Schizosaccharomyces pombe: one gene and its partners. Changing the gene in region 2 together with the main gene of any one other region gives a genetic interaction. Each region holds a gene or a part of one and is shown on either strand. Other genes may lie near its edges. The genes, in order: SPOM_SPCC417.09C, sap18 and SPOM_SPCC306.07C.

What was found.
Region 1: mutations in sap18 (region 2) and SPOM_SPCC417.09C together harm fitness more than expected from each alone (negative genetic interaction), as found in Schizosaccharomyces pombe (one large-scale study listed by BioGRID).
Region 3: mutations in sap18 (region 2) and SPOM_SPCC306.07C together harm fitness less than expected from each alone (positive genetic interaction), as found in Schizosaccharomyces pombe (one large-scale study listed by BioGRID).

The regions. Positions count from the first base shown.
Region 1 is NC_003421.2:1,689,631-1,698,002, reverse strand, and holds SPOM_SPCC417.09C (transcription factor), read left to right. Parts: upstream 1-3,418; 5' UTR 3,419-3,570; coding exon 3,571-3,917; intron 3,918-4,066; coding exon 4,067-4,487; exon of another isoform or gene 4,488-4,586; coding exon 4,587-5,176; intron 5,177-5,275; coding exon 5,276-6,221; 3' UTR 6,222-6,784; downstream 6,785-8,372. Other genes in the region: dipeptide transmembrane transporter Dal51, read right to left, coding at 751-2,277.
Region 2 is NC_003421.2:2,137,636-2,144,079, reverse strand, and holds sap18 (SAP128 family histone deacetylase complex subunit), read left to right. Parts: upstream 1-2,890; 5' UTR 2,891-2,905; coding exon 2,906-3,069; intron 3,070-3,236; coding exon 3,237-3,510; 3' UTR 3,511-4,197; downstream 4,198-6,444. Other genes in the region: putative signal recognition particle subunit Sec65, read left to right, coding at 749-971, 1,025-1,401; U5 snRNP-associated protein Prp18, read right to left, coding at 1,814-1,888, 1,934-2,890; SPOM_SPCC126.12 (NGG1 interacting factor 3 family protein), read right to left, coding at 4,953-5,089, 5,155-5,325, 5,378-5,692, 5,746-5,959.
Region 3 is NC_003421.2:417,533-424,043, forward strand, and holds SPOM_SPCC306.07C (U3 snoRNP-associated Cic1/Utp30 family protein), read right to left. Parts: upstream 3,639-6,511; 5' UTR 3,604-3,638; coding exon 3,541-3,603; intron 3,481-3,540; coding exon 3,347-3,480; intron 3,168-3,346; exon of another isoform or gene 3,126-3,167; coding exon 2,468-3,125; 3' UTR 2,097-2,467; downstream 1-2,096. Other genes in the region: ins1 (INSIG domain protein), read right to left, coding at 1-45; family protein BIG1, read right to left, coding at 944-1,787, 1,850-1,941; mdh1 (malate dehydrogenase), read right to left, coding at 4,171-5,196. UniProt on the Schizosaccharomyces pombe protein: Involved in rRNA-processing and ribosome biosynthesis.

The DNA of each region.
Region 1 (8,372 bases), 450 kb from region 2:
CACAACACAAAATAAATGTAAATGATTACTTTATATGAGAAATATTCCATCATAGGCATTTCAGTTAAATGAATTGGAGCTTAAAACTGAGCAGACGAAAGTGACAAGTTTATACTGCCCTATTTGAAGATGTTGAAATGTGACAATAGTTTATTAAAACTTTCAAATCAGGCTTTTAAGTCGCTATGAAGCTCAAACTTTGTTTGAGGTTATTCTTAACAGCAATTTGTCTATGATCTGATTATTTGACATTTGCATTCTTCTAGTTTTCTTTGTTGGTTCGTAGATATTTACAATTGATGTTTAGGTTGATTAATATATGTATAGAAGGCTAAATTTATCTTAAATATTGTGAGTTTCCGAGAAAAAGTCTCGGGGACTTTTGCTACTTGGAAATCTACAGTATTCAGTAACGTTCGTAAGACGAGTATATTATTAAAGTCGTAATAAGAAAATAATAACAAAAATTAATAATAAAGCTAAACATACAAGCACAATATGTCAATCGACGACATCAAGTTAAACAAGAAACCATGGACAAGGAAAATCAAAATAATTAAAAGGAATAGTGTTCCTAAAAACAGAAACTTTCTTTCTCTTAAAAGTGTATTCCAGCTAAGAAAGAAATATTTCGGAATATACGACTAAAACCTGCTTTAATAACTCGAATGAAAAGTTATTACGGTAGTTTCCGTACACTCATTAGTAGTATACAATAATTAGAAAGCAATGACCTGCAAAGTGTACAAATCATAAAGTGTATCTGAAATCAAGATTCTCAAAATCTGTAAGATCTTCAAATTCAGCATTGGGACGATGCTCAATCTTTCCCTCCGCAGCCAATTGATCCCTACGCTTGTTTTCTCTCCAATTAACATAGTAAAGAGCAGGAAATGTGACTAAAGTTGCTGCATAACAACCGACCATGGTGTTCTTAGCAGGCATATATTCAGGAGCGTCAGCAGCTTTGAAAGTTTGAGGGCCGATTAAATTTCCCACACAGTATCCGATAAGATAGATAACACCAACAGTGACTTTCTTTGTATAACCAGAGGCGTTGGAAGAAATGATGGCGAACATGACAATCATGGCACCTGGAGAAACCATCAATAAATAGTAACCTGCAAGCTGTGCACGAGGAGGACCAGCGAAAGAAAGCAAACAGGATCCAATCAAGGCAATACATGTGGTGATGGTAGCCAAAACCATACGTTTATGAATGAACAAACTCAAAAACCCAAAGGCGATCAATCCACCAAATTCACAAGCGCCGGCAGGAAGACCCATAAGCAAGGTTTGAAGGGTATCATAACCCATGGTACCTTTAATTAAAAGAGAGGAAAATGTACCGATACCACCATTGGGAATATTCAAAAGAACGGATGAGACAAACATAATCCAAGTACGAATATCAAGCATGGTTTCCTTAAACTGATACAATTTAAAGTGATTATTACCAACACCTTGCTTGTTGGCACGAAGACGCTTGACAACCAACTTACGATCTTCTTCAGTGAGAAACCAGGCTTTGAAAGGATTGTCGGGAACGACGGCAAGAATGACAAATCCCAAGAAAATGGCGAGGACACCGCAAATAATGAAAATAAGCTTCCAACCTCTCATGGGAAGACTGGTCCTCTTGGCCAAACCATAAGCCATGCAGCTACCAAGGATCTGACCCAAACCATTAAAAGCGACCCATACGGAAGTACGAAGTTGTTGTTCACTGCGCTTGTACCATTGAGCAGTGAGAAGAATGAAACCAGGACTGGCGGCAGATTCCATCATACCGAGAAGCACACGAAGAGCGATAAAGCCAGGATAGTTGGCAACTGAGGTCATGCAAAGCAAGAAACCCCAAATGACTAAGAAAACACACAAGGTCTTGGATAAAGGAAAGCGCTGAAGAAGAAGAGATGCAGGGAATTCGAAGACAAGGTAACCCAAGTAGAAAGCAGTACCTGACCAACTATACATTTGACCTTCCATCTTCAAGTCTTCTTTGAGACCCATGATAACGGCATAGGAATTTGAAGTTTTGTCCAAAAATTGGATGCAGTATACTAGACACATGACGGGGAAGATTGTGCAATCGATTTTGCGTACCAATCTACGCTCCGTTTCTGGATCGATCTCATCGTAGTCGACATCAAGGGCGTAATTGAAAGCAGCATCCACGCCTTTTGGCGAGAGATCGCCAACGTCGACATCGAGAATTTCCTTATTTTGGACACTCTCGGGATCTTTCAGCTTTTCGTCTATACTGATGCTTGACATTTTCTCGCTAGGCGCTTAAATATCTAAGCGGGATTATGGTAGTATGTCTAAAAGTAGTAGAGAAAGGAAAGGGAAAAAAGAAAAAAGAATTAAAATTAGAGGAGGGAAAAGAGAATGAAATTTAGTAAAAGCTATTTTCGCCAACACTTATAATGAGTGTAGTCGGGTTGTTTTTCTTATTGAGGATCGATATACTAATGAAATTGGCTTGTAGCATTGCAAGGTGATCCCTTCCTTTTAAACCAGGCAGACAAGCTCTTGACTTGGTTATCTGGCATCCACCCTCCGGTTGGTGTACCCGGTTTGTAATCTCGAGTATGTTCACTGCATCGCACATTTTCCTACATACCAAAAATTCTACTGTTGCACCTATCATTAAACATTGCAATACCTACCAACTCTACCTGGTTTTAGCACTAAATACCCGATATCGTGCTACCCCATTGTTCCTCCAAAGATCTTCTGAGCCCGGAGATATAGGAGAACTTGATAATGTTAGGTAAATTGGCAAAGTTGATGCGTCAGTCTCCTATCTATTCGTCAAGTTTCATCGTTTAAACAAACATCCAAGATCGGATATCAGGGGCGTAAAAACCGTAAATACTTGATAAAATAAATAAATGATGGAATGAAACGCTTCCTAAGCAGTCGAGCCAACATTGGGTCTTGCATTTCTAACTTTGCAGGAATTTCTTGATGAGAAATGGGGAAATCAAGACGCATATCATTCATACGTTGATTTTTCCTCATCCCAACGCTAACATCGAGCTCCCAACTCATTTTTTAAATTTTTCGTCCAAGCACTCATAGCGCAGCTTATCACCACTTACCACATATACTAGTGTAAAACAGTACTGATCGCTCGCCATGCTTAGATATGATTCCACCAAGATAGCAATAGATGTCTAAGTCGGCTATAGCCACCGGAAATATAATACACTAAGACACTGGGTATACCAAGAAGAAATGATAGTGTCATCCATCAAGGTCATTATTTCGGATTTAGAAAGGCTAGTGATATTTCTCTAAAAATTGCACAGTGATTGTGGAAATGCGGTGGAAGCCGTGGGGCTATCAGGATAGGATTGCTAGGCATGCCGCCATTTCCAAGATAATGGGCGAGTACGCAAACGTGCAAACCACTGTTAACGGATGGGCCCCGAGATCTCCGAGAGCGAGGAGAACTGGAGCTGGAGTTGCTGGAGTGAATTCCATACACAAAAATCGAGGGTTTTCTGTTTGGATAAATAGCTTAGAATAGTAAATGCTTGAGTTCCGCTGCATTCTCACTGCATGCATGCTAGGATGCAGCCCCATGAGGATAGGAGTCGTAGTGGCATGAGTAGAAGCGAAGCTATGGAGTTGGAGGATCAACTAGAGGAAGAAGAAAGGGGTGGTAATGTTGTTGTTGGCAGCAGCAGCGCGAACGCGAACGCGAGCACAGCAGAAACTGGGAAGAAGAGCGCTGGAGGCTCAAAACCGAAAAGAAGAAGAGGCGAGCGAATTCCACCTTCAAAAAGGATTCGAAAAGCTATTGCGTATGTAAATAAATATGCATCTGGTTGTTTTGGTCGAGTTGAAAGACGTTTAGTTTGTACGCGTTCGATCAGCCGCCATTCCAACCAAAAGTTGCTTGATTTGTTTGTTATTACTATATTTATTGTTTTCGTATTATTTAGTTGATCTATTGAATTATGTAGTTGTTTCTTTATTTCCTTACTTTACAATTTTTTTTTGGTTTTATTTTTTCTACTTTTTTTTTGTCTATTCATTCAAATGCTAATATTAGTTGTGTGGAATGCAAAAAGCATAAAATCAAATGCGTCGGTAACTTTCCCTGTGGCAGATGTCTTAAAAAAGGATTAGAATGCGTAATAGAAACTCCTCCTAGATTGCTTATGAATAAAGACGAAATTTCTCTCAATCTTCAGAGACTCAGTCATATGGAGACCATCCTTTCTAAACTCATGCCAAGTATGAGCTTGGATTTGCCCAGCTTGGAAGCAAAGATTGCGGAGCTTAGTGAAAGCCTTCAAACCTATCCTGATAAAGTACTTACCGACATCGAACTTGGAAGCTATCAACAAGTGACTTTGAATGAGACACAGACATATTACGAAGATGCCGGCTCTAACGAAAGCTTCGTCGCTCGCGTGCACGAGATCATTTGCCAGGGCAGGGAATTTCAGGTGCAGCATAAACTCACTAACGTATGTATTGATGGATTCATCTACTTCATTTCATACCCTTGCTATGTTGTGGGGCATCATCGATTTTACTGTTCTTTACTAACCCGTTTTTCTCAATAGAAAGGAAATAAAACATTTGAAGATATTTTAGATCCCGCCGATAATACTGTCGCCTCTTTAATCCATGCATTACCCCCAAAGGATATCACTTTTTATTTACTTATGACATTTTGGCAATTTTCTAGTGACAACAACCATTTTTATTATAATACCAAGCTGTTTGCTGCAAAAGTCCATCATCTTTTCGATGATCCAACTTCCTTTCAATCAAAAGATGGTGGTTTTGTGTGTATGCTTCTTCTGAGCATGGCCATGGGCAGTCTATTCTCCTACATTCGCCATCCAGAGTTCCTTTCTGATGAAAATCACGATCGTTGGACTTATCCTGGCTCTCAGTTTTACCAAAACGCCAAACTTCTTTTTCCCAAAGTCATCAGTGAATCGTCGTTGGAAACAGTACAGTCTTTCTTCCTAGCCGGTATGTATTTGTCTCCAACATTGGCACACGAAGTTGTATACATGTACTTTGGTATAGCTATGAGAGCTGCTGTTGCCAATGGTATGCACAAAAAGTCTGCGAATGCTCAATTTTCCGGAGATGTTGCTGAACTTCGTAAACGGCTTTTCTGGAGTGTATATTGCATGGAAAGGTAAGGCTGTTGAAAACTTCCCAAGATTCATGTCTGGGAAGAAGAAGAGAATTTTTTATTATTCCTCCTCATTATTTTATGCTAACGTTTAACTTTTAGAAAAATAGGTATTTCTCTGGGCAGGCCCGAGAGTCTTGTGCGTTCCGAAATTGATATTCATTTTCCAGAATACCGTGAAAGTTTAGATTCGCAAAACTTCATTGCCAGCTTCCGGACCTTCACCTTAGCTATTAAAATTTCCCTTCTAACTAATAAAGTCTATGACATGTGGTATTCCTCGCTACATGGAAAGGCGAACTTAAAAGCAGCTACCATTAAAGAGATTGTAAACGAAATTGAGGCATGGCGCCAACAACTGTCTCCTGATCTAGAAATACAAAACATTGGCCCAGATAGCAGGTCTTACAGAGGTATCGTTCATTTGCATCTAGCTTATCATATTGTTCGAATTGCCATGGGCCGACCGTTCTTACTACACCGGCTTCGTGAAAGAACGATGAATAGTAAGACGGATGAGGGAGCTAGGCTTCTTACTGATAAGTTAATTTCATACTGCTATTCATCCGCTTTGCACATTGTCGACCTCCTTGTACTACTAAGAATGCACAAATTTCTATCTGTCTATTCATTTATGGATTACCATTCATGTCATGCCGCCTCTTTTATCATTCTGGTGCATCTTCTAATCAACCCGTCTGAACAAACGATCGAACAACTGAATACGGCTATTGACATTTTGAATTTTGTTACCGACAGATTTCCACTTTTAAAAGGAAGTACGGATGTCATAACTAACTTGCGGGCATTTGCTGAACAAAGCGAGGTATATCAATCAAGGCTTAATGCTACCGAACCAGCTTATTCGACGCAGGTGCCTTTCTTCCCTAGAGATGCTGATTATCATAATCAAATCAACCTACAAAATCTTTGGAATGATGAAAATATCAATGCCTCACTAGAGGCACTTTTCAATGATGCGAAGGGTTTTGGCTTTTTACTCCCCGCTGATAACTTCATTTTCCCTAGTGACGATGGAGACATGTAATGATGGCTTTCTTTCGAAACTACTCAAACCTGAATTTTAAAAAGGTCGATATTTTAATTTACCCTTATTCTTTTCTCCTAGTTGGTCTACCTTACTGAACATATTTACTATTAAAGCAAATGAAACTGAAAGTTAACCCTTTTTCCCATGGTCACATTGCATCCTTTTTTTATATGATCAAATCATGCTGATTTGACCAAATCCTTTTCCAAAAAAAAAAAAACAAAAGATAAAAAAAATAGGCAGTTGCATTTTTTAATGAATACATAACGTGCATAACTGTTAACACAATTTTACTTCTAACTTTATTGTATCTTTCCTTTTGTCTTATCTAGATTAAACCCGTTTTAATGGTTCTCAATTAGAAGCAATTGTTTTAGCTTGGTTTCTAATTACCCTCTTAAAGGAATTAAAGGCTTCAATTGACGAGTGTTGAATTATTGAACAGAAAACTGTACATACACATATACAGTTGCGATTCGCTGAGTATGATAGAAATTTTCGTTATTTCATTTTATGGATATTAGCAATTCAATATTTTAAGTATCATAAACAAGCTGAATTGACAATCATTTTAACGTATAGTCCTTTTGACTTTCACAGTCTCATATAAGTTTCCTTGTGTAAACGATAACTATGGAAATACTGGATAGCGTCTGCAATCAAGAATGAAAAATAATAACTAGAAATGAATTCAACTAACTGATTAAAAAAAAGGAGCCTACAGCACCCCGGATTCCCATGTTGTCTCCAACCATAGTACTAACGAGGCCCTCAGACGCTTAACTGCAGTGATCGGACGGGAACTGGTGTTTTCACCTAGGTATGGCCGTAGACGTTCGATAATGTAATAAATGATTTTTATAGCGTTCATTAGGGGAATGGATAAAGGTTCTTTAAATTTATTTCAGCCAATATTCCCTTAAAGAGTTTCTAGTTGGACGATTTAACTAATTGATTGACTCAAAATTTAACAATTATTATAACGCTTTTGTATATTTCTCTTCAACTTTTCTACCAAAGAAAAGGCTTCTCTTGATGACTAAGTATTCGACTGTCAAGTTTTGTCAATTTAGTCTCAAATATTTCGGTCATGGAATCATGCTTCCTCAGAGCTTAAAATAGGATAAACGAATTCGGTTTAGAGAGTTTTTTTGCATACCTATGTTACCATTCAAAATCGCAAGATGGAGTTTGGTGCACATATTTAAACGCAACTTTAGAAGCGAATAAGGCCCCTTTGAAAAACCGGTGCCCATGCCATATAATGCTTTTGAGTTTGAGCGATACAGATGCTGCAGTTGCAGAACCTCGAATTAAGGCATAGCTTGAAATAGCTCTCATGATTTGCTAGACTATTATGTGGAAAACACAACAGATATTCAATTGATTCTACATTTGGCAAATATTCGTTGCAATGAATGGGAATGAATACCTCGCCCATAGTCCTCAATGTTCAGTGTAAAGCATCAGCTAAGTGAGAAATCTGCAATAGTCGCAGTAGTTGCAATGTCGATAGTAACATAAAAATGCTATACTTTTGGGATAAAAATTTCTCAGTCACGATGCTTGAGAAACTGCATTGATCGATATTCAATATTTGCAAGTTCTGATTCTTGTTACAACTTTAGGATATCATTTTTATGCGAATTTCCTAAAAAGGGATTTTTTTTCCTTGACCAGTTTACTCATTGATTTATTTCAACAACCTTCCAAAGAACTCCAATGCTAAAAGTATCACTTGTCCTCACACTTCTGAACTATTTACTCTTAAGATTAGATGAGAAACTCACAATTCAAGCTGAAGCGAGCTCTGCAAGTCATTAAAATTATTCAATTCCAACAACTAAGCAAAAAATTATTTAAAGTCAAATAAACAAATGAAAAAAATAGTTGCGCGGCCAGGTTTCGATCCTGGGACCTACGGGTTATGAGCCCGTCGGAGTTCCACTCTCCTACCGCGCACAAATACCGTCACCAGCAGGATTTGAACCTGCGCGGGCAGAGCCCATTAGATGACTAGAATACAGGATTCAAGTCTAACTCCTTAACCACTCGGACATAGTGACTTCTTGAAAGCTATCTCAAATTTGTGATATATATTCACAGTTTTTGTAAAAGGTTAACTAAATCTGTTATTCGAGAATTTGA
Region 2 (6,444 bases):
CCCATTGCGATTTTTTTCATGCCCGCAAAAGGAATATACATGTGTATATACATCATTTTATTAAGGACCATTGTTGTTTGAAGGTATTTTCCTCCCCTTTCATTCATCCATATTCTTACTACCTTTTCGCTTTTCTTTTAAATCCAGCTTCCCTATTATGCCTGAAACCGATCCCTTAAAATTACCGTTTTATTATCTTCAAAAAAAAAAATTAAGTAGAAAATTGTTGGCGTTTACATGATTTTTGTGTACGGCTTCTTCCATTAATATAGTTGATGAGACTTTGTCAATTATCATAAAATACATACATCGTTACATATCGGTTTATTGCTGCGAGAGGGAATTTTTAGCACTCATGCATCATTAGCAACAGAGCGTTTGTATTACTTTAAAAGATATCCACTCAGATTTGTGTTTTACAAGTCTAATTCTTCTTCCAATTTATTTTACTGATTTCATTTGTAGGATTCAACCGATCTCACCTTTAAGCCAATCAGGCACACTCTCTTTCATCGTTTTTTTAATATATTTTGTATTCTTTTAAGATCTTCCCAGTGAATGATACGATTTTACTTTTTTAGTGTTCTTAGTTTTATTCTAAGTTAATCATGAAAAACGTCTTCTTTTTAAAAATAATTGAAATGTTCAGTAGTAAGTTGAAAGTAAAATCGTATTTATCTACTACATACGGTTGAGCAGCATAAGTATGATATCGCATTTGCTGCCAACTACCTCACTCACCATCCACATGCCATCTATCATATTATATCCCATTTACTTTGACAAGAGCCGTCCACGTAGGTTTCGTTGTGTACCAAAAGACAAAGCAATTTTAAATCCGTTAGCTAAAAATATTGCCGATGTTGTTCGCGATTTGGGATATAAATGTAAATTGGAACCATTGAAGACACATCCTGCAGATTGGGTCAATCCAGGTCGAGTCGAAATGGTATTACCTGAAAAAATACAAAGTAAGATTGTTATTAGTTTTATTTTCTCGTATGCTAACTGACTGTGAATGTAGAAAAGTATGTCATAAACGAAATCGCCAAAGTACTACTTCTTCGCCCAACTGTTAAGACAGATCCTTTATCGTTACCTATTCAAAATGTTCCCGCACGTCTTCCTGAAAATCCTCCTGCATATCCTAAGGGGGTTTTAGGAAATACGATTTTACCTCTTCATTCACCTGCTTTATCTGGCGGTGGTATCTCTGAAAATATGTTCCAGGAAATGATGCAGGAAATGCAAAAGCAACCTGGATTAGCTGGAGGTATGAATCCAATGGCTGCACTTGCTGGTATGGGAGGCCCTGCTCCTCCTATGCCAACTCCCCAAGCATCTTCAAGCCAGCGAAAACAAAAGTCAATTGAACCAGAATATGATTTGGATTTGGAGTAAACTTATTGTTTAAAACTGAAATATTAGGAATATAGGTGCTTTCGACTATTAGCAAACGCTCATGGATATTAGTAAATTTTTTTTCTCGTCATCTTTTAACAAAAAATTTTTTCCTAATAATGAGTATGGATGTAGAGTTTCATTAAAGATGAGTTCATTTGCACAGCACATTCTGCTTTTTTAAGACTGAGTTCTGGTGGCATACTTAATATTTTTCTGTCTTTTATAAATGTTTCGCCTCTCGTTATATCAGAAGCTGTTTCATTGTAGTTTCTTTCATGCCAATTCAGAGGCGAAATTTTTGAATATTCTATCATTAGTAAACCATGTTTGACATAGTCGTTTTCAAAAGTTTAGTGTGAACTGTATAATTAAATTCTTTTTCGACAACAAATAGCATCTTTTTCGTACTTCAATCCGTATATTCAGGTAAGTTTGATGACTCTCTTTCCTGAAAAGTAATAAATCGCTTTAAAGCTTGCAAACACTAACATGTGAAAGGTTAGACTGGGTACTTTATCTAAAATCTTACCTTTCTCTTCTTTTCGTCTTTAAGTATATTTGAACTTGGATTTGCTTGTAATCGTTGATGTGCACTTCTTTCATGAATACCAACCATAGTAACTCCAATAGGCCAAGGTGCATTTCCAATTGTCAGACGTAAATACATATCATTGGCTTTGACAAATTCGTGTTTTTGGCATCTGTAACAAATTTCAGCTATGCTTTTAAAAATATCGTCGTTTAAAGCTTCATCGACTATCAGTTGTATAAGTACATCAAGATCTTGCTTAGCTTGACGAAATATTTTTAATTGCATCTGACTCTCAGAACTTTCGAAAGAGTTGATGGATTTTGAAGACAAAAAGTTGTCCCAAATGCGGATTCCATGTTGAAGAAAAGCAACTACTTGCTTGGATACTTTGGGTTTGGTGGTAGTAGCATGCTCAAAGTCGATTGTTTCAACTCCTTTAGTAAGGAGTTCATTTTCAATTTCTTCCAGTTTTTTGTATTTTAGCAAACTGTAATATCGTTGAATGGTAGCCTCTTCTGACTCTCCAAACAAACGAATTGGCTCTTTCATCTCACGAAGCTTTGCAATAATTTCGGTCAACGTGAGGTTGTCTTTTGTGATTTCAGGTATTGATAAACGGTCGTTTTCGGAGACAGATAATTTTGTACTTGCAGGTGACGCTTTGACAGCTGGTGAGGGAGTTGTTGTTTCTGTAAGCAACTCTTCATTTCTACTGCTCTCTTTGTTCGCAAGTCGTGAAATGCGTAACTTCTTTTCTTCATATTTAAGACGTTCTTCTTCCAACTTTCTTTTTTTCAACTCTCTTTGCTCATCCTTTTGTTGTTTTTCCTGCAGATATTTCTTTTCCCTTTCCTTCTCCCAATCCCCTCGTCGAAACGCCTTTTTTACCGGAAGTTCGCTCGTTCCTTCTAGTTGGCGACGTTTACGTTCAATTTCTTCCTTTAAAAAATCCATTTGGGAGGTTTAGAAATGGATATTCGTGAAAGTCGCTCTCAATCTCCTGAATTAAGCCAAAGTGAAGATGCTGTTGGTCCGTGCCCTTTTCTCATTTCAGTATATCATCAGTTCCAAACAAAAAATCATGTTTTAGACATCTTTGAAGACGTGATTCCTTCTATTCAAGTTTATGGATGGTAAGTAAATCGTGTTAACGGGAAAATTTCAGTTGTTGTATATGAACTCATACTTCATTGGGACTACGATTAGAAAATCCGTCAAAGGATCATCCATGAACAATTTATATGTCAATTAGATTTATATGTTTCAAATCTTAAACTTTTATGCTAACGATTAATCTTAGGTTGACCATGACCCTTTATGAACTGGGAGTTCTCATTGCAGATCAACTTCTTTTGAATAACGAAGAAACAAGACATTCTGAATGGTCATTGCAAATTAGAACAATTTTTTACGATAAGTATAAAGATCGCCCGATAGCCAGGGATCTAGGTACTGTTTGTTTGCACAATCCAAAGCTATTTCAAGGCAACAAATTATTGAAAAGAACGGGAATAAAATGCGGAGACAAAATTGATGTTACCATAAAAGAGGATAAAATTAGAATAAAAAAGTGATTCCTTGATCGGATGGTACATATATATTTTTTGGAAGTTTAATGGGTTTGAGAACGATATAAAAAACGAAGTGCATGACTGAAGAATTCTATTGTAAGATTTATTTAAAAGCTTATCTTAATTCTATTTATATACAAAATCATAAACCGCTACAACCCTGTTCACTAATCTCATATTGTATGTTTATAAGCTTTGAAGCTTTGAAAAGATTCGAAGCTCTTTAAGTTGAGAAATTTTTTTTTCCCATACTCTTAAAAAAACCTTTGACGCATTAAGAAAAAATTGTTAGTGTACTTACTATTTTCCTTATTGAGTTATGGAGATATACTTTAGCTCGAGGCCTATCAAGGATTCAGGAATCACTTCTGCTAAATTTATATATATGCTGTAGGAAAAGAAAGCGTTTTTTTTATTATAATTCACATTGGAAAGGATTCAACACTTTAAATAGCAGAATCTTTTATCATTTTTTTTGAAGCGATGGATTAAGCGGTTAATGTTTTCCATTGTTTAATAGCGCTAACATTCGGAAATCCGATTGAAACTATTTTTCAAAAAAGAATTATAACTTCTATTATTAACATGGTTGATATTCGCATGATAAATGCACCATTGATCCTCATAATGTAAATATCTATTCCTTTAAAAATGCTGTCAACTCACCTTTGGCTACTTAACTATTTTCAAAATATAAAACTCGTATTTTTTTTTTGCCTAAATACAATTAAAAAACCATTCGCAACCCATACAAACAGAAAACGGATTGTAAACAGTTAAATTATAATTCAGGCAAGTAACAGACTTAAATATTTATAAAGTTTTATTACAGCCCGATGTTATCATTGCTAGAGTAAATGAACATGAATCAAGGTTACTCCGTTTGCAACAGCTGTAAGAAGCTGAATTGTTATTTTCTGAATCGGTGCTACAAGCTAACAGCCCAAAATCACTTATTATTTTTACAACAACTTTAAGCTGATATCTTCGTTTCATAACTAAATCCAAAGTATATTCCTTCAATTATTTAATTTCATTTAAATTTAATATGAGTATTACAATATGTATAACTAAAAAAAATAAGTTTTCAATAATCTCCTTTAGTATAGGGGTAGTACACAAGCCTGTCACGCTTGCAGCCCGGGTTCGAATCCCGGAGGGAGAGTAAATAATTGAAACTTTTTTATTTAGCTAAACAAAGCTTAGTTTTTGAAGCTTTGGCATCATTATGACCGATATTATATTAGTAAAACATAAATCAAAAATTTCCTAATATACCTGGTTCAAGATCAACCAGTTTGGTTCTCTAAAAAATGTACTTCATATAGAAGAGTAAGAAGAATCTACAAATTATGAGTTTTGTGAAAAGTCAAAATTAATGCAATTTAATTTTAGCATTTCTTCAATTTATGTTAAATAAGTAACAGCTTTTTATTTTAGTAAATCTACATGGTAGTCAAAGGATCAGCATCCATAGAAGATACAATCACATTTGCATCTACTCCTTCTTTGTGAAAGGATGAAGCCAGTTTTTGACACATTACATCCTTTAAATAACCTCTTTCTGTATTGGAATGTCCGCCTACATTGTTGTTAGTTGAATAATATATAATACCAAAGAGGTGAACTGAACAGATTTTTCCTTACATAATATAACTGAGATTCCTTTGGCCATCGCAGCTAAAACTTGATGATGAGACAATTCACCAGTAAAGTAAAGATCTGCATCCGTATTCATAACCACAGATCCACCAGAACCTGCACATAAAGAAACCTTGGAAATATGAGAATCTAATCCGTTAGGTGCACACACTTGGACTACAATCAAATAGGTTAACAATATTAACAATAAAGATAAAAAGAAGCTCACCATATTGCAAGCCGGTTAACTCCTTAGCCCTTTGGACCAATTCACGCAAGGTTGTAGGAATCTTCAGTTCGCAAATTCGACCGTAACCTTCTGCCTCAGCCATGACAGAATTTTGCTGAGTTGGGACCACGCTTTTAATGTTGTTTCGTCCTCCAGCTATACCTTGGGCCAGCCAGTCATTTACTCCATCAACAGCAGCATCAACGGCTGTATGAGGCGAGTAAACGTGAATTCCTTCAGCAGCAAGTTTTAAAAGGCTTCTTTGTTGGGGATCCTCCATCGTGATGGCTTTAAGCCCACGAAAGATAATGGGGTCTAGTTGTGAGTAAGTTGTGTAAACAATAAAAGTAGAAGGTTAACCGCCATACGATATGCTACAATAGATGATACAAGTTTATTTGAAATAGCTTCTTCAGCAACTTTCTCAGTCAAGTCAATCGTCAAAAGTACGGAACTTGCATTTGTTCTTGGGAAAGGAGCCTCAAGCAGAAGCCCAGTGTTGTCCCAAGAATCCGCCAATTTTGGATTATAGATGGACTCAACTACTTTTTTTAATTTGGAAGAAATATTTGCCTTAGACATATTTGGGGAAAGATACCATTAAACGCAGTGATTCCTGAACGACCGTAAGACCACGTTTACGACAACACTTAGTCCTAGGATATGCTTTCTCAAATCTGCTAAATTCTGTAGAGCATGAAGGAATTCTAGCAACGCGTAGCAATACACAATTTTAACTATGCAGTCCTGCGTATCGGTAAAAAAATATTGAACTGCATAGCGAGCATTAAAAAACGATTAGGTAGTACTTTATTATTTTACCGATATTTTTTTATCTATCCTAATACAGCTAAAAAAATCTACGCTTGCAAATGCCTCTATATAAGAAATGCTGAGTGTTAATTTCACAATTTGAATATTTACTTTGTTTATTAATTTCCTCTGTTTATAGAAAATATTTTTTCAGTCAAAGGAAGAGGCCATAGGCATTTCTATCCCATTTGTAAAAGAGCATCCAGTATTTAATGTTTGTAGTGCGTATTCTTCGGGACATGAAATAAATTCTT
Region 3 (6,511 bases), 1.7 Mb from region 2:
ATCTGGGTAGCGCGGACGGGGTTCGTAAATCTCTTTTCTGCTCATTTTATTCAAGCTTACGGCACCTTTCTGTAGAGATCCTTGTGAAACTGACTAAATGGATGGAGAAGAATCAATCTTTACGTTTAGGTACTTGGCAGAATCGAGACATTGCACAAAACACGCATAGCCCAGTGACAAGTAACAATTTTGAGTAACAAAGATCTCAAGTAAGAGAGATCTGAAATGAATAAATATTTACAATCACTTTTATATGTGAATTTGACCTTTCTAAATTATAGAAATATACTCAAAACTTTTCTGCATCCATATTACTCTTATTGTTAAGGTATATTGTGCTTTGATCACTTGAAGATGCATGCCATAAGTAATGACAATGTTAACTAATAACGAAAATATCCAAGGAAAAAACTCTCGCAAACACTCATTCTACGAAACAATCAGCCACGAAGAAATTGCTTTAAATAATTAAGGAAATTTCATAATTGAGTCTGTATGCCTAAAGTGGTTTCTCTAGTTTATTCAAAGTATAGCAAATTCATCTACTATTTTTAAAACCGCAAAACAAAAATATTAATTGAATAGAATACAAAAAGCAAAACAAAGTTATGCTGACTACATGATGCCAACAACTTTCACCTTCCGTAGAGAATCATCATAAAGAAAAAACAATATTATGGTTATAAAGTTTGTCTCATCACAAGAAATAAATTCTTCAGTCCAAAAAACTATTTAATAGACTTCAATATATTAAAAAACAAAGATCATTCTAACCATTTGGACACCTAAGGAATTGCGCTGAAAGGTAAAAATGTCACCAAACTATACTTATCAAGAACCATTTATGACAATAATTTTCTTCTAAATTAAGTGTGAGATGTATCAATTATGAAAGAAAGAAATAAATTGAAACTTCTTCAGCTTATTCACCTTAAGAAGAGGTTTATAACTGTTTGCGTCGAGGACTATCAAAAGCGTGATAGCTGATTTGAATAGAGGAAAGTAAACGGCAAGAAATAAACAAAGTTGGAACCAATACAGCCAATGCCAAATAACCCATGTACAAACCAGGAGTAAAAAATTGATATTCGGTAAACAGTCCCGTCGCACCATTGTCGGTGACAGGGTGCTTCCTTGTTTGGTGCATAGCAAGCGTGGTTTGTGATCCCTCATTTTGATCAGGTAAAGAAGCCAATTGGCCGTGTTGAAGAGCACTCTTCCCTGAGTTGAGACCACCTAGCGTTTGAATTACAAATTCAGCATTGGCCTCTTCTTCGTTAGCATCAACCTTAAATCCTTCAAAATCTGAGTTATTCAAAGGAGAAGAGGCTATAATTACATTCCACTGAGCATCTTGTTCCAAGGTAGATTGTAAGTTGTAGAACATTTCATCCAATTCCATTAATTGTGCACTTCTATGATAACTTTCATTTGACAGTTCATTCATGTAAACAACAGTTATGCGATCATTTTGAAGAGGAGGAAAAGCATTAAAGGATCCACCCAAGTAAACTACCTCAACGTCGCAGTTTTGCTTTGCCGAATGCACCAACTCTTGTGAGTCCAAAGACTCCTTGGAATAAGGAAGAAGTAAGCTATAGGGTGATTGCAAAGAAACACGCTTTAAATGTTTAAAAGCTCCCAACTGAAAATCATTAACCTCAAGGCCTGGTTGATGTATAATTAAGGTAGCTGTATTGCATGTCGAAAGTGCCTCAATTGCGGCGTCAAAAAACATCATAGGGCAAGTGGATATTGAAGAATCATCGGATGATTTGGGGAGTTTGCTGTTTTTAGTTAGATTAAATAATTTACACAGTATAATGCCATCGATGGATGCAGGACATACGAGTTCGTAGAAAATAAGAAAATCGGCGAAGTATCTTTAAATGCTGATACTAAAGAAAAGCAAACTATAAATAAAATACTCCAAGAAAACATTTTGACACTAAATTTTCTTTACTTTGGACAAGTTTGGATGTTGTCAATTGCTTGAGCGTTGGAGTGGTAGAGAATAGCTCTATATACTACTTTCAGTATCTAAAGGTACTAAAATCCTTCTGAATGAACAAGCTACATATAAGCAGATAGATTATGTAAATATAACATGTTATTTACGAGAAAAAAATAATACTACAAAACACAAGACGGTGTAGATTTTGTTCCAAAATCATGACAATAGTCCATGACACTTGTTATACACAAAAACCCTTATTTATTACTCAGTCCAAAATACCCGTTTATAAAAGACGTGCCCTTGTAAATCCCTTTTGCTTTCAGCCACTCAAAGCTTTTTCACATAACTAATTAACATCGAAGGAAAGAAATGTATCAGAAATTTGAAACAGGCAAAGTCAAATGGTGTTTATAAATACATTGTCAAAACTCTTTCTTCTAGCCTTAGTAGAAAAATGGTAATTATTTTAAAATACTTTTTTTTTTCAATTTAGGAAAGCGAAAGTCAGTTTCACTTATTCCCTTTGCCTTCTCCAGAAGAACCCCGTTTTTGAGCACGCAGTTCACTTTTCTTAAGAGGTCTTGCATCTTGAATGTGCACAATGTGTCTTTTATGAGCAGCAAGATTGGTGTCACTAGTCCAAATTGGCAGAGAGGCACTGTCAGCTGTTTTAATCGCAACATTATCAATTGCAGACCACCCTTTCGGAATGAAATTAGTTAGCAGACACTTCAATACAGTCGTAATATTCTCCAACAATTGTTCATTGGTTTGAGTGGCCAAACCACAGAGAATGGTATGACTAGTGCCGGCAGATAACTTAAGATAAGTAGAATGAAGACAACGAGCAACTTGATTACGCAAAGTCTCTTTCTTTTGTAAAACAGAAATAGGAAATGGCTTAATTTTTTTCTGTTCAAAAACTTTCCCCATCAATAGGGGGATGTATTTTAATACACGATCATCAACCAAAAAAAGGTTGTGAGAGTCTCGTAGCTCACATTTTTCTCGGATTGTTTTATACTTTAATTTCAATCTCGGGATGCTAAGTACTTTTGTAATGACTTCGTCAAGCCCTTGTTGCTCCACCAGATCTTGATATGTCTGCTGTGAATCTTTCACAATCAAACAAGCATCTGTTACATGCATTATCCTGTGCGGAAGGAATCTGTAAAATAGTTAGTACCTTATAATTTTAATGAAGAACACGCATCGATTCTATGAATGTTACAACAAGCTTGATTTATTAGCAAATCAACAAAACCGTAATACCTCTTTATTTCTGCACAAGCAGTAGAAGCTTAAGGTTTTAAGTAATTATAAGAACAAAAATTTTATTGTTGATCTTATTACTTCAGGAAACTTAATTCATCATTAATGCTCACTTACACTTTTGATGGTCTTCTAAGCGACTCTTTCTCAACGGGTTGGAATGTATTAACCTGAATATAAACCTTTTCTTTTTCAATAGGTTTATCAGAGGATCGAATGTGCTGCAGCAGGGCTCTAATTGTTTTCTCTAGCTATTGATTATTTGTAAGTAAATTGCACGATAATTTGAAATTAAAAAAAAAATTTCTTACTAATTTTATGTCAATTTTATCCAATGACTTTAAATTTTTCTTTTTTTCACTTGTAATCGCCATTTCTATTAAGATGTAAGTAATGGATGGCTTTTTGCAAGTTCAACTTGGGTTGGTCAGAGAAGTTAATATTACAATGCTATTGAAAGTTCTGTAGCATATCATTATCAAAGTTTAGTTTGTAAAGAATTAATCAAAGAACAATTGTTCTGTCTTATATGCCATGGCCTTATTAAATTGATGGCTTTGAAACGATACTAGATAAATAAGGCCAACAACTCAAGAACCGCAAATGTCGAATGAATGGAAAACTTATTATCTATTACTTGTTTAACAATTTTCTTTTAGTGGTTATTGTAAATTTGAATCATCGCTTTTCGCAAAACTCCGCATATTGAAAACCCTCATCTATTCGACTGTAAAAACGGAATTCAATAGATATGAAATTTCTATACAACCGCACATATAAAAGGAAACCTTGTAACATAATTTTTACATTCATACCTACACTATGAATGCAGTATACAGATTACTTTTTGACTAAAGTAAAAGAAATAACACACACGAAAGAAGCAAGAGAAAACAAACATTCATAAAGAATATCATATCATTTCTGTTATTCATAAAAGATTATGCTACAAATTGCTCACCCTTCGTAATGCTCTTTTTCAGCTCACCCAAAGCTACCTTAAGAAGGCTCTCCTCATAATCATTGATTTTACCAACAGGGTGAATGGTGTCAACCCCATCCTTACCCAAAGTTACACGAGAGGCAAAGAAATCAATTCCTTGATCCTTGTACAGAGGGGACTCCACAAAGGTGCATTCCTCAACGCCAGACTCACCAGCCAAAGCACGGAGTACGGAGGAGGCCATACGAGCACCGGCATAGGCCATAGACAAGGTCGCACTTCCAGCACCAGCCTTCGCCTTTACAACCTCATCACCACCAAATTGGATACGGTGAATAAGTGCGTCACGCTTTTCACCAGTCAATTCAACACCGCCTTGGGACAACAAAGGTACGATGGTCGCACCGGAATGACCGCCAACAACAGGAATATGAAGAAGTTCTGCCTTGCCATTAGTGACTTGAGAGGTGAAACGGCTGGCACGAACAGAGTCAAGTGTGGTGACACCAAACAAATGTTTGGGTTGATGAACGCCAACACGTTCTAAAGCCTTTTTAAAGATGGGCACAGTAGAGTTTACGGGGTTAGTGACAACGAGATATTTGGCTTCGGGACAAGTTTCACCTGCTGCAAAAGCAAGGTCCCGCACAATCGATGCGTTAGTAGCAAAGAGATCATCACGAGTCATTCCGGGCTTACGGGGAACACCAGCAGGAATAATGACCACATCAGCACCGTTCAAGGCTTTTTCAAGTCCCTTGTCATCAGGAGCATAGCCAACAACATTGGAAGTGGTATTGATATGTCCAATATCGGCAGCAACGCCAGGAGCTCCCCTAATATCGAACAAGGCCAATTCACTAACCTTATCGTTCAGTTTTAAAAGCATTGACAAAGGCTGGCCAATACCTCCTCCAGCACCCAAAACGGCTACTTTGAATGCGCGACTGGAGGTCGTAGAAAAAGAACGGGGAGCGATACTCTTAAGGGGAGTAAAGTTTTTGAAAGCTACTTTGGCAAACATCTTTGAAAGGTACAAATTCGCAAAGCAAAGTAGAGAACACGGGTATTTAAAAAAAATAGAGAGAGTGTGTGTGAGACAGAGAGGGGGGTAAAAGAAATTTCAATAGAAAATGTCCAGTTGAAAGGTTGATTCTTCTTTTCTTCAGAAGATACTAGACACTATATCAAAAGTTAGAAAAATTTGTTGAAAATAAAATATGTATATATATGCAAACATGAGTAGCCGCATCCTACACCATAACGTTTATACGGACTGACTAGCAAAGCAAAGCTACTCGACATCCTGGTTACAAACAAACTCCTCATGCCGATTCTAAGCATAAAAAAGCATATGCGTATAGCATCTCTTATAAAATATTCCTTCAGAAAGTCCTGTACCTAGTGACCTCGGAGAAACGGGTACGGTACATAAAGACTGGCGTAGCTGTTTATGTCAAGACTTTTTTCCAAAAAAAATATCGACTTTCGTGTGTATAAAAAGGTCTCAAGAGTAGTATTTACGTCGGTTTATTCATTTTTAAAATATTTTTTCTGGCAAATTGGGATGTAACTTGATCGTTTTGCATACTCACTTTTACTTACCTTAAACTTAACAAGTTCGAGGTACGCTTTTGGAAGTCGTTTTAGATACTTTTAGGCAAGGTCCCGAGCTTTGTTGATTATACGTTGACTATTTGGAAGATATGTTGAAGTTGAGAATCACACAGTGAGTTGGTACAGTATATATACGAATTGTGGGGTAGTGCTTACACTCAATATAAGGTTGTAGCATTACGCAATCGATCTCAACGGGCATTAAAGATCGAACGCCGATTTGTCAAGAACGACGACTGGCTAAAATAGCAAACCGCAGGACAGTGCAAAGCAATGCGGAATAAATTCCTAAAACTCGTATAGTGGCTTCTTGCTACACTACTGTAAATATTTGGCAGAAAGAAAAGCTACTGTACTATTTCAACTCTACAATGGAAACAGATTATACAGGCAGCTGTACAATGTAAGAATGAAAGTGACAGTTGTAAAGTTATAGTTCAAGCCTCAAAGAAAAAATATTTTGTATATTATATATATGTATATATGTATATATTTATAGATGAACTCATTCAACTATAAAACTTCCAAAATCTTCCTTTCCTCTTTTATTGAACAGCATGGCTTTTTTTCATAAAAACATAACATGAGCAAAACAGCAATCGAGAAAATGATACCTTAGCTAGAGGATTTGTTTAGACTGAAAAACAAAAACAAAAAGAAGATGATGATGAATTCAATTGGCGAACGGAAGACACTTAAAATCCTTTCGAGTTAAAATCAAC